Linked DNA regions of Schizosaccharomyces pombe. The gene in region 1 interacts genetically with each later gene. Each region holds a gene or a part of one and is shown in the gene's direction. Other genes may lie near its edges.

What was found. Genes that interact genetically often act in the same process or in processes that back each other up.
Region 2: mutations in SPOM_SPCC965.13 (region 1) and bit61 together harm fitness more than expected from each alone (negative genetic interaction), as found in Schizosaccharomyces pombe (one large-scale study listed by BioGRID).

Annotation. Positions count from the first base shown.
Region 1 is NC_003421.2:2,307,789-2,315,969, forward strand, and holds SPOM_SPCC965.13 (pyridoxal family membrane transporter), read left to right. Parts: upstream 1-3,710; 5' UTR 3,711-4,691; coding exon 4,692-6,305; 3' UTR 6,306-6,612; downstream 6,613-8,181. Other genes in the region: SPOM_SPCC965.14C (cytosine deaminase), read left to right, coding at 7,014-7,502.
Region 2 is NC_003421.2:1,609,532-1,614,429, reverse strand, and holds bit61 (Protor homolog, Bit61), read left to right. Parts: upstream 1-1,666; 5' UTR 1,667-1,865; coding exon 1,866-3,134; 3' UTR 3,135-3,383; downstream 3,384-4,898. Other genes in the region: arg1 (acetylornithine aminotransferase), read left to right, coding at 1-1,106; alpha-1,2-mannosyltransferase Omh3, read right to left, coding at 3,404-3,935, 4,016-4,620. UniProt on the Schizosaccharomyces pombe protein: Component of TORC2, which regulates multiple cellular processes to control cell growth in response to environmental signals. TORC2 is required for cell survival under various stress conditions.

The DNA of each region.
Region 1 (8,181 bases):
TTTTCTATTAATCAGTATAGTTATAGTAGAGATACGTTGAATAAAATTATGTGTTTTATAAATCAATGGAATAAGCAAGCAATCAGACCCACATAAAGAAGCACTTTGCTACATGAAAATCGCGCTAAGGAATCAGCAATAAGACAATTAGAGAAATATGAAATAAAGAAAAAGAAGCATGCGAGAATTTGATATGTTGATGCAATTTATCAATCTACTACTTTGTAAGCAATGAAGCAATGATTTGTTCGAAAGTCACAGAGATTCAAAGTACTGAACCATACATGATTTTGTCAATAAGCTAACAGGGCATAAGGCCCACAATCTATCTTTAAACAATAAAATTAAAAAAATAAAATAGCAATAATAAGAGAAGGAGCCTACAGCACCCCGGATTCCCATGTTGTCTCCAACCATAGTACTAACGAGGCCCTCAGACGCTTAACTGCAGTGATCGGACGGGAACTGGTGTTTTCGCCTAGGTATGGCCGTAGACAATGTTTTTCAACAATAGTAAATTATATGGTAATTTTATGAAAAATTTTATGATTAACTGTTAATGAAAAGAAAAAGTAAAATAATGAAGACGACATTTTGTCAGTGTAGACTTTTGAGCATGAAATTTGTGAATGATCAAATTCGATTAATTGATAATATTTTTTACTACGTTTTATTTTACCAAAAGTATTTGCAACATCATATCGATTATGAAAAAAATTTTTTTTTAAACAAAGTAAATTAATATATTTGTTCTATTTTCATCTGTTAAAATTTTATTTATTTTTTACAATCTATTCGCATTTTTAATTTAAATTAATTTTATTATTTTTTTTATATCATTTTATTTTATTTTACTTTACTTTTTTACGGTTTTTTTTCCTTGCATGTCTTAAAAAAACGTTTATAACGGTAAATTTGCATACATGCTCAAAAGAGAAAAAGTCGCATATGTCAATAGTCTTATCTTTATAAAGAGTCCAAATTGCATAAAGCCGGACCATATTATAAAAAACAAAGATAGCTAATTGAATCATTTGAACGAACGTATCAAACATGTTCAAAAGGACACCTTAATCACATGACTTGTGCAATAAAATATTAAAACGGATTTTAGATGCGGGATGACTAATTTGATGTGGAGAAAAAAATAAACGATAGATGGTAATTACCAAATAGTTTCTTTTGAGTTGCAGAAACATTGGCAGGTAAGCTAGCTATACCATGCAACAAGGCCTGACTTGGCTTCCCCTTGTATAACATGTTCATTTGTAGTTGCATATTTGCAGATCATTTTTATACATATTCTACTTTTTCACAGACATGGCTAAGGAAGTATGTAAGGAGGAAATGTATGCTAATTTAATTCTCAACAAATCCATCTTGTTGCATTGTCGGCAGTAGAATTTTTGTTTTTAGTTATGAATTACTTTTTGAGTAAGTACATATAAGATGATAGTTTAAGAAGGAAAGTCGATCTACACACGTTTAAAAATTGTTGAAGCGATTCGTGCATCGGTCAATTGTATACTTTAAAGCTTTTCTTTCCTTAGGTCACATCTAGAACTTATTGAACACGATTTCAAGTTGTGAAGAGGAAAACGGATGCGATCCACTTTTACCGGAGCTGGATGATTTTTCCAATCACATTGTTTACATGTCAAAAAGGGAGCACAAGAAGTCGTAAAGCAAGGATCGCATAGAAAATGTAAAGGAAATTAAAAAAAAAGATGAATGAATGAATGAATAATAAATAAATGGAACAAAAAAATGAATGAATAAATTGAATAAATAGATTAAATAACGAGAACAGAAAATAGAATCTTAAAAAAAAAAAAAAAAAGGACAAACAAGGAAACCTTAAGGGTTGCGTATGTTTGTATGTGCTTTTCAGATTCACCCTTTATTCGATTTCTCAGTATTGTTTTCTTTGCCTGGCTGGCTTACCTTTTCCCGTAGATGCCAGCCATCTTGGTAAATGTACATCCCCCACATAGACCCATGTCCCCCAGTCGACTGCAAACATGAACCACTTTGCTACTAGCTAAAAGGAACTGACTACAACTTTGAAAAAGTTCCTATGTGGGGGTGAGGGGGGAAAGAAAAATGCGGAGGAAGTGTTTCGGGAATACCGTGTTTCTGCCGAAGTCTTTGCCGGTCGTGGACCGGGTGTCCGAGGAATTCCCTCATGACAACGAAGCCGAGGGTGTCGCAAATGGGATAGCGAGAGAAAAAGAGAGAGAGCAGCTGAAAGGAAATAGCGATGAGAGACGAGGAAGAGAGAGAAGAACTGAGTAATGCGATAGAGGAGGAAAAGAGAGGTGTGTTATAGCACCACACAATTTTGAAATGTAAAATAAAATCAAAGACATGATGAATCAATCATCTTTGTGATAAATCAATTCAAACAATCAATGGTGCTTTTGTGCATAGTCAATCGTCCATTGACTATTCAACTCATTGACCTATTCAACCCATGACAAACATAGTGTCGACCTTAGCCTTTTCTCATCCCATTTTATTTTTCATCCTACATCTTTACGTCTACAATTTACGCATCCCTTCATCACCAACCCAATCCTTCCTACACCTATCTCCATCTTACAAATCTTACTCATTCATTTGATAGCTAGAGCCATCATCCTGTATATAGACTCAAAAAGAATGGAATGGGCCTTGTCTTTTCCATCTTTCTCCATGATACGAATTTACGGACTAGTGTGCTTGTCACTTTCCACTCGCTAATCTCTAGCACGTGGAATGCAACCGCACAGGGAAACGAGGATGTAAAGCACCAAGCAAAAGCAATGCAGTGGAATACGAAAACGGTGTGTGTAACGACATAAAAAAAATCTCATTCTTATCAGTAATGATTAGATAGTGTCTTGTTCTTTGTCTTTGTTTTTGCTTCTTGACTTGCCCGATATACTTGTATTAAAAATATACTCCATAGTACCGGATTTTACGCATTGCTGGGATGTAATAAATGTGTGATATTATTATTTTGTTACTGCAGTGAAATTGGGTTGGTTCGTAAATTGAGGTATAAGCTTGTTAAACAAAATGGAAGAGAGACTGATAATCGTAGTAAATGAACCAATAAATGGAAATGTATTTGACCCAGAAAATCAAATGATTTCAGCAAAGAGAGATTGGAGGCAAAAAGAAGAAAAAGAAAAAAGAAAATGGCCAACCGAGAAGAAGAAGAAAATTTTTTTAGCGGAAGAGAGAAAACATTTTGAGAAATTTAACGAGGAACGAGTAAAAGAGTAAAGAGAAAATAAATAACAAAAGAATATATAATGAAAGAATTAATAATCAAAACATTTACAATTTAACTCTAAAATTACCATTTACCTCTTTTTCTTTTTCTTCTTCTACTATACTTCTATCCACTTTACTCATCTCTTCTCTTGCCTTTTTTTTTTTTCTCTCTCTCTCTCTTTCTTTTCTCTTTTCTCCTTTCTCTTTTTGCTGCCCTACTCCCGCTGCCCTGCCGACGTCCTTTACCCTGTTTTTCCTCTTCTTCCTCTTTTCCTCGTTTTGCTCCCGGAAAAACGATAAGCTTTTCTAACGTGTTTCCTTCCCCTAACCTGCAATCTTCACATTTGCATCGGCAAGGTAGCAGGGGCGGTAGTTACGTTGGACTGGGGTGGCTAGATTCATCTTTAAAATAGTAGGGTCAGGATGATTGTACCATAGAATTGTTTTTTGTCCTCTACTCTTATCTAAGATTTGAAGGCATATCTATTGCAAAAGCAAAAGTATCTGAAACTTCGATGACTGCGTATTTTTTCATATAAAACGATATTGACCGGCATTGTTGAGTTGCGAATTGCGTTTGGAAAACCAGCGGAAAAAAAAGTAGGACATAGCAAATTGATTGCTTAGCTTTTGTAATAAGAAGGGATCAGGGCTGTTGTTGTTTTCTTGGTTTAGAAAAAAACAGAATCAAAAATAATAAAGCAAAAAAGAATATTTTGTTCTTTTTCCTCCACTCCCCATTTTATTTCACCCAACGGACTTTGTGTGAGAGCGATTATCGGTTCGTCTGTTATTCAAGACATACTTTGTATTATTTGGGTCTTTCTGTTGCTTGTGTGAGTGTATCTGTGTGCGTGGGTTTTTTTGTGTGTGTGTGTGTATCTTTTGTGGTGTGTATAATTAGTTATCGTTTTCAATTTGTTTAATTTTACTCTTCTTCTTTTAATTTGGCAATCCACTTTTTCTTTGGGCCATTCATTTCTATACTATACTAAATACCCTATACCCTCTACTTTATAATTTTAGTATTCTTTCCTTGGATTCAATTATTGCTTTTCACTTTAAAAAAAAAAAACAAGAGTCGATAAGCATTTCATTCCCATTTTCTTCATCATTGATTAGTTTTATTTTATTTATAAATTCTCTATACTGTCTTGATCCCCTTTTTTATCTGCTTTGGATTTACCTATTTTGAACTCGTTCCCTACAAACTTTTACATAGCAAGTTAATTCTTCCTGCTGTGTTTATAAGACATATAGATTTTTATACATATATTATATTTCTGTTCCTTTTCTTTTTTCTTCTTCTTCTTCCTAATTCCCCTCCCATTTTTGCTTCTGCGTCGATTGTTACTGCGTACGTTGCAGCATACTCTTCATTTTCTTCTAGCTGTCTTTTCTTATTCTATTTTTTTATTTTTTGATACACGATGTCAATTCTTAATGTCATCCGCTCCCATCACGACGTGGAACCACAGAATGTTGAAGAGGAGCCTCCATTGACCGGGCAAACTATCGTTACCGAAGACAAACTAGAGACTTCTGCCAAAGACAAGAAACATGAGTCACCTAGTATGTCGGAGGATGAAGAGGGCTCGGTGGAAAATGTTGATGCTTGGGATCTCACAAAGGCTCTTATGTCCATTGATCCCAACCATCCCGCTCATCCTCATAAATGGCCCTTGTGGAAAAAGTTGTTTGTTGCTACCGTTTACACATTTTTAGAGGTATATGTCATTTGGTCATCCACCGCCTGTATCAACTTCTTTGATATTTATCAAACTAATTGGCATTGCAGTATTCAAGTCTCCTATCTTGTACAAAGTCTTTTCATTGTCGGTAATGCTTTTGGTCCCATGCTTTTAGGTCCCATGTCGGATATTTTTGGTCGTAAATGGGTTTATGTTGGCTCTCTAATTCTTTATATTATTTTCCAAATTCCCCAAGCCCTTGCTTATAACTTACCCATGATGGCAATCAACAGTGCTATTGCTGGTGCCTTTGGTAGTTCTGCTCTCGCTAACGTTGCAAGTAGTATGTGTGATATCTTCACTCCTGAAACCGTCGGTTTTGGTATCTCTCTATTTGTTTGGGGTGCAAATGCAGGTGCCTCTATTGGGTCCCCCATTGGTGAGGCTCTTTATGATCATTGGCGTTGGTTTTACTGGATGAATATGATTGTTGGTGGTTTCTTTGTAATTCTTTGCGTATTGTGTCCTGAGACCTTACCTGTCATCAACATCATGAACTATTCTTCTACTACTGGAGAAAAAACCGTTCAAGTCTCTACTCTTGCCAAAGCTAAATCAGCTGTAGTTCGTACAAAATTTGTCTTATCCACCGCTTTTAAACTTTTGTGTACAGAGCCTATCATTATGGCTTTGGGTTTGTATAACGGCTTTGCGTATGGTTTGATTTTCCTTTACTTGGATGGACTGTTTCCCGTATTTGTCGACAACTACAAAATGGGATACATGGGTGCAAATCTCACTTATTTGAACTTTTTGGTTGGTGTCACCATCGTTGTTATGCTTCAACCCATTCAAAATTGGCTTTATCGTTGGGATAAAAGGCGTCATGGAGGTGTAGCGCGTCCAGAAGCACGTTTCTTGATTTCTCTGCTTACCGTTTGGTTTTTCCCAGCAGGCTTGTTTTGGTTCGCTTTTACTTCAGATGGCCGAATTTCTTGGGTAAGTCCTTTAATTGCAGGTGGTGTTTTAGGTGTTGGTGATCCTCAACTTTGGCTTGCCATGATTAACTATATTACTGATTCCTACCCATCGGTTGCTGGCTCCGCCATCGCTGCTTTCACTTTACCAAGTTTTGCTATTGCTGCTGTTCTTGTACATCTTGGTATTATCATGTTTGACAATATGACTACCACTTGGGCCATGGCAACTTTGGCTTTTATTAGTTTGTCGCTTGTGGCCACGATTTATGTTATTTACTTCTTTGGTCATCTCATTCGGAAACACAGTCGACTTGCCGTTACTCAACAAGCATTACAAGAAGCACATGATGCCAAGGTTTTACCTGAAGTGTAGTGTTTATTCCATCATTTCTCCCTTTTATCATTCATGTTAGCATATGTAAAAGTTGTTATGTTCGTATTGATATACACTCATCCAACTTTCCTTTTACTGTGAACACCCGATTATGTATGTACCCCTTCTTTTTTGGCAATATGCATCTACTTCTTTTTGTCGATAATTCGCTATTCTTTTCTACCTTTTTTGTACTAGTTATTGTTTACTAATTGAAATCTGTCCTACTACAGCTATTGCAGTTGAAATTACAGTCGTCTTAAAAAATATAGCTTAAAAAGTTACGTTTATTAAAAAGCTGCCTTATAGCACTCGTAATTTTTAGTCGCACAGTAGTTTATACTTGCAAAATAGCAATGTTTAATAGATTATGTAGTATTATATTCCTAATCGGCTAATGATGACTGGAAATGCGAGTTTCAATCCCCATGTATTCTGGACGACCGAAACAGCATTGATGGTTTTAGCGTAGACCGACTGTGTAGATGTATTAACTTCAGACACTGAGCTGACCTCTTCTGCTCTACATTGTCTTTCCAGAACGGCGATCATAATCGATGTCAACCGATTCATCGACAATTCCCGAATTCCAAGTAGCAATAGATAGCATGTCGTTTCTTTGAACATGTAGTTGGAAAAATTAACACAATTTATAAATTACATACATATAGTCAAAACACAACCTGCGTCTCTTTTTTAACATACAATATGTCCAGCACTGAACTTTCAGAAAAGGATTTAGCTTATCTACGAGAGGCCATCAAAGTTTCTCAGCAAGCTCGTGATGAAGGTCAACATCCATTTGGATGCATTATTGTTGATGAAAATGACAATGTTATTATGTCTGCGGGAAATCGAGTTCCAGACGGGGATGTAACTCAACATGCTGAGACCCGTGCCGTAGGTTTGATTACGAAGACAAGAAGAGACCTTGAGAAGTGTACTCTGTATACCAGCACGGAGCCTTGTGCCATGTGTTCTGGTGCTATATTTTGGTCTGGTATTCGCCGAATGATTTTTGGCTTATCGAACGAAAATTTGATTAAACTGACACAGAAAAGTGGTGAGTGCCCGCCTTTATACATTAATTCACGAGATATTCTTGGAGCTGCCTCTCATCCTATTGAGGTGGTGGGTCCCTACATTGAAGATGAAGCTATTATCCCTCATAAAGGCTTTTGGGATGGAGGAAGATAGCTGCTTCAATCTCATATGTTAATGTCAAAAGCATATTCCTTGAAACTTTGCTAATACGTCCACACGTTTTATCGTTTCTGCTAGCTAGTAGGGTAGACTCTGTTCAATGTTTATGAACAAATGTAATTATTCTATTTCCTCCAATTGAACTTCTTAGTAATTAAAACTGTAATTACTTCTATGCTCAAATTGCAATATATCTTCGTGTACAATATTTACTTTCTTGCCATGGTATACAAATATCAATACGGGCCTCAGGCAAGTTACAAGATTAATTCGTTTTATAAATTAAAATTTTTAATGCCGCTTTTGTTCAACCGAATGCCTATGATCCTATTCAAAATCATTAGTGACCAAAGTGGGTTTTTTGCTCATATCACCAAAAAGAAAGTGTATAATGGTATGGTAAATATAATCTGACTGGACTAAATTTCTCAGTTTATTGCTAAATCCTCCTAGAAAATGGAAACAGTTTAGTGTTTATTACACACGCGAAAATTATCCAAAAAATGAAGGTCTTCAGCATAACTCTTGTTGGGATCACTTAACCCTACTTTCACGAATCAATCATTTACCAAGAATAATCATTTTTTTTGTGCTATTTAATATTTATTTACTAAAAAGTAGATAAATTAATTAAATCAAATGACCAAGTCTCAAAACAATTTCAAAGCATAAT
Region 2 (4,898 bases), 700 kb from region 1:
ACATTGACTTCACCTCTGGCGTAGCTGTTACATCTTTGGGTCATGCTCATCCTGAAGTTGCTAGACTTGCCGCTGATCAATGCTCCAAATTAGTCCATAGTAGCAACCTTTTCTACAACGAGCCTGCCATTGAGCTATCTAATGTCATTAATAATTCTTTGGCAAAAAATAGCGGTATTGCTGGCCCCACAAAAATTTTCTTTGCCAATTGTGGTACTGAGGCCAATGAGACAGCCTTGAAGTTCGCTCGTAAGGCAGCGTTTGAGAAGTATGGAGAAGGGAAGAGTCAAATTGTTTACTTTAATAACTCTTTCCACGGCCGTTCTTTGGGATCTCTTAGTATCACTGCGAACCCCAAATATAAACGTGGTTTCCAACCATTACTTCCTGATGTCGTCCAAGCCGTCTATAATGACCCTGCATCCATAGAGCAATTTGTCAATGACAAAACTGCGGCTGTTATTGTCGAGCCCGTTCAAGGTGAAGGTGGTATTTGTCCTGCCAAGCCTGAATTTTTGATTGCTTTGCGCAAGGCCTGTGATAAGGTTGGTGCTTCTTTAATCTATGATGAAATTCAATGCGGACTTGGTCGCAGCGGTGATCTTTGGGCCCATAGTATCGTTAAGGATGTCGCTAGTCCCGATATTATCACAGTTGCCAAACCTTTGGCTAATGGTCTACCTATCGGCGCCACCATTGTCTCCAGTAAGATCGCTGCTGAAATTCACCCTGGTGAACATGGCAGTACTTTCGGAGGTAATCCTGTTGCTTGCCGTGTAGGCACATTCTGTGTTAATGAATTAGGGTCATCCAAGATTCTACAAAACGTTAGAAAGCAACACAAGGCTCTTACTTCACGTTTTGATGACTTTGTTGCCAAATACCCTAATCTTATTCGTGGATATGCTGGTCGTGGTCTTCTTCTTGGTTTGCAATTTACCGAGCCCCCTGCTAAATTTATTGAGCTTGCTCGTCAACAAGGTCTTTTACTCTTACCAGGTGGAAACAACAACACCCGTGTCCTTCCTAGTTTGAATGTTAAAGATGAGGTTATTGCTAAGGGTTTGGATATCATGGAGAGCACTTTGAAGGCTTTAAGTAAGTAAAAGTGTATGTTTTCGTAGACTTGGTCATTGAATGGATTGGTTATATAGTGCGATAAAAAGTGATTATTACGAGAAATCTTGTTCCTCGAAAACATATATTAACCTTGCTCTCATTTGCCAACCAAAAAATTTTTTGATAGGGGGGTTACGAAAAGCTTAGCTGGAAGCTTTACATTGTAAATACTGGTTTTCGTTATTCCCTTTCTTTTCATAATCAATTTTGTTTACATTTTTTGTTAGAAAATTAGATATATATTGTTGTTTTTCATCTACTAAACTGAATTGTCGTAATATGTACCGTAAATACTCTGTCAAATGATAGTAATTCACAAAATCAATGTTTTTTTACTGCGTTTTCTATTACTAACTTTTAAAAAGTTATATAGCAAATAACATTCCATGTTTTCTTTTAGCATTAACTATTTTTTTCTTTGGCATACAATTATTATATCAACATGCTATTCATTCAATTCACATTAGAACGATATCGTTATAAGGAATTCTTAATCAATTTTTCGTTTCTATATTTTATCTTAATTTAAGGCGCACATCGATACTTTAGCAAAATACCACCATATTCAAAAATAAACAAAATTTTTTATCTTTCTAAAAAATATCATTTTTTTAAGTAAGTTTAATCATTTTATAATGATTGAACAATGAATATCATCTCATGCTTATTTTGAAGAATCGCATTTCGCGTAACTAAAAGCAAATTTCTTGGATACCCTCAGTACATTTCCAAAAATATTACTAAAGATGGTAGGGAGGGGATCTTTTTCATCTACCTCGAGCGCCTCATCCATTAATTGGATTCCAAAAAACACTAAAACTAGCATTGAAAGTGTTTCTAACACTATTTCGTTGTCGGAAAATGGGCAGAACCAAGACTTGGAGACTGTTACTACTAAGGAATCAAACGTTGGCGACTCTGACACGACTGAAAACATTAAAAGTCCGTTTAATGGACAATGGCCATTTAGCAGAAGATCTAGTCAAAGTAGCAGTCATCCGGTTTTTGAGGAAACACATTGGAGTAAGCATTCCAAGCGCCCAGGAAAGTTGAACGTTTTAACGCCTACTAGCCCTTCTAATGTTAATGCCGAAGTTCAAAGTATTTCTACGAAAACTCAATTATCGCTGCTTAACCTCTCTCCGCATAAGCATAAAAAGCCTAAAGATGGTTTAGATCTTTCTGCTTTGCAGAAAACGCTCAACGGGTCTCGAAATTTCTTAAGAGGAAGAAGAGACGCTGGGGGAATTTTTGGCGCTTCCATCCCACAATCACTTGTTACAAATCAAATAATCAATGGCTTCGGTGCAGCCTCTCTTGCATTTGCTAAATTGGGCAAAGTTCGCTCTCCTTTAGAAGGTCGCTTTAACCTGGTTCCCATATCCGCGGATGAAACTTGGCTTATTGTGGAATCCGAAGTTTGTAGTTTATATTCGGGTGAGGCTTTGCACTATTCTCTTGAAGATTTGAATGGAATTCTTATATTACATTTACAAGCTCTTATCCGTGATACGAAGATGAATGAGTTTGTTGGACACTTGGAGACACTATTCCGTAAGGCTACCAAGTGCCTTTCGGACAGTTTATCGCCTGTTCCAGAAGAATTATTTTTGAATCGTATCATAGAAACATGGCTGTTTTTCTTTTCTTCCGTATTGCCATACGTTCAAGGTGTGTTTTTACCTATAAAGACAAAATTGTTTGATGAACAAGAAAAAACACAATTACCCTATGAAGTAAATGAGTTTTGTTCCACAAATAGGGAAAAACTAAATGTCCATCGTCTTGCATTGATGACATTTCGCGATTATATGGTTTTGCCAATTGCAAATCGGATACAAATCTGTATTGGGCGTGCCGAATCTGCTGAAAATGCTTTAGATAATGCAGGAGAGGTGTTCGCTCGACTGTTTCAGATATTAAGTTTGTTGGCAAGTGTACGAACGAACGATTCCAAGGAACAAGAAATTACTAATTTGGCAACTAAAGTCAGATGCCTGTTGATAGCTTCCTAAATTCATTCTTAGATTTTTTATATTATTTTTCCTTTTTAAAATCGTTTCAGTTTTTTTTTTTACCTTCTTATTTTATAGGGTCCACACTTTTCAATATTTGCAAATTGTTCTAAAACTTAAAAAATTTGTGTCAATACTTGATATTCCCAGTCTTTTGTTTTCATCATTAGTTAACGATCAGCTTTTGTTTATGTCCACAATAAATATGTTTTTAAAACAAATATCAAAAATAAAATAGGTAATCTCGGGAATTACAAGTAATATGTATTTTAACTATTGATGTTTTCTAACCATTTAATAGCACAAGAGAAGGGTAAATAATCAATCGTACCAGTCGGATCGCATAGACATCTAGCTGTCGCATGCGACTGTACATCCGTAGGGCAATGGTACCAGGGTAAATGGTAATAACCAAAGTCCTCAAAGTAATGTATTTGCGATTTGTTCAGAAATAGCGATGCTGCCAGTGAATGTACGGGAGCATCCCCCCAGCGCTCGTAAAAAAATCCATAATTTTTATCTAAGTGCGCAAAGTAGTCTGTGTATGCAGGACTTCGAAAGAAATTTAAATTGGCAATTTCAAAATTACTCCAAAAATGGCAGAGATTGTAGTCACCACTTAACCCCTGGTGGTCATTAACGATAAAATCCAAGGAGTTATTTTGTGCAAGATATTGTGGGTTTTGGTGAATAAAATCTCGAGTAACGTTCCATAAAGAAGGGAGGGTTTCATAATAATCCGTCATTGATATGACAAACCCATACGCCTTATTCTCGTCACTCAACTTTCGAAAAGGATCACTTAAAGAATTGGTTAGTGACAAAATTCTATCATATTACAAAAACAAGAGTTAAATAGTCAATTTTTCTTGTGCACTTACTAAGGTATATCGCAAGAATATTCAACGCCGGGTTCAACGCGCCAGTAATAATCATAATGTGAAAGGGCTTTGTTTCGATAAAAAAATCCTGAATTGAAGCGACACATGATCCGATAACTCAGTGAAAATCCATATATTACTTTGTCATCGGTCATATCCCGAATTGATTTCAACATACGATTTAAATCGATGTTTATAGGAATTCCCCACTCTTCGTTGTTGAGTTGGACATAGGTAGCATCCCCACTCACCATTTTTGAAGTAGCTGTTATAAATTCTTTAGTAAAAGGGGCATCATTCATAAATGTCCATGGGTAATGATAGCGATGATTGAACCGATCCTCGACGCTTTGTATGGAAACAAGAGCGTCCTTAATGTCTCTATTACGGCAAAGCATAAACAAAGTAGCGTTCATATTGGGCTGCTTAGGAAAATAATCTGAATCTGTCAAGGATGACTCTCCTCTTTGCTTTGCTGTGGCTTTTTTTAGAAATACATACTTGACTTTTAGTTCCTTAGGCCCATCTTTAGAAGACTGTAAATAGAATGAAATAATGCAGAATAATAGTATACAAAAATAAATTGATGATTTGGGTATGCCCATGTTGAAGTCATGAATATGGCCCCCTTATATTAGGATTTCTTATTAAATCGCGGAAGTTTTTTTTTTATTGATTGTGAATGAACTTTATAACATGGTTCGATTGTGTAAGATACGCCAGTTTGCAATATTTTCGCAAGCAATCAATCTGATATGAAATAACTCGTTGGACTAAATCAACATTAGATTTGTAAACAATCAGTAACAATTTTGGTTTATAAACGATCATTTGGGAATGTTTTAAATTTCAGCTTTTGCTAATTCCAAACAAAGTCTTTAGA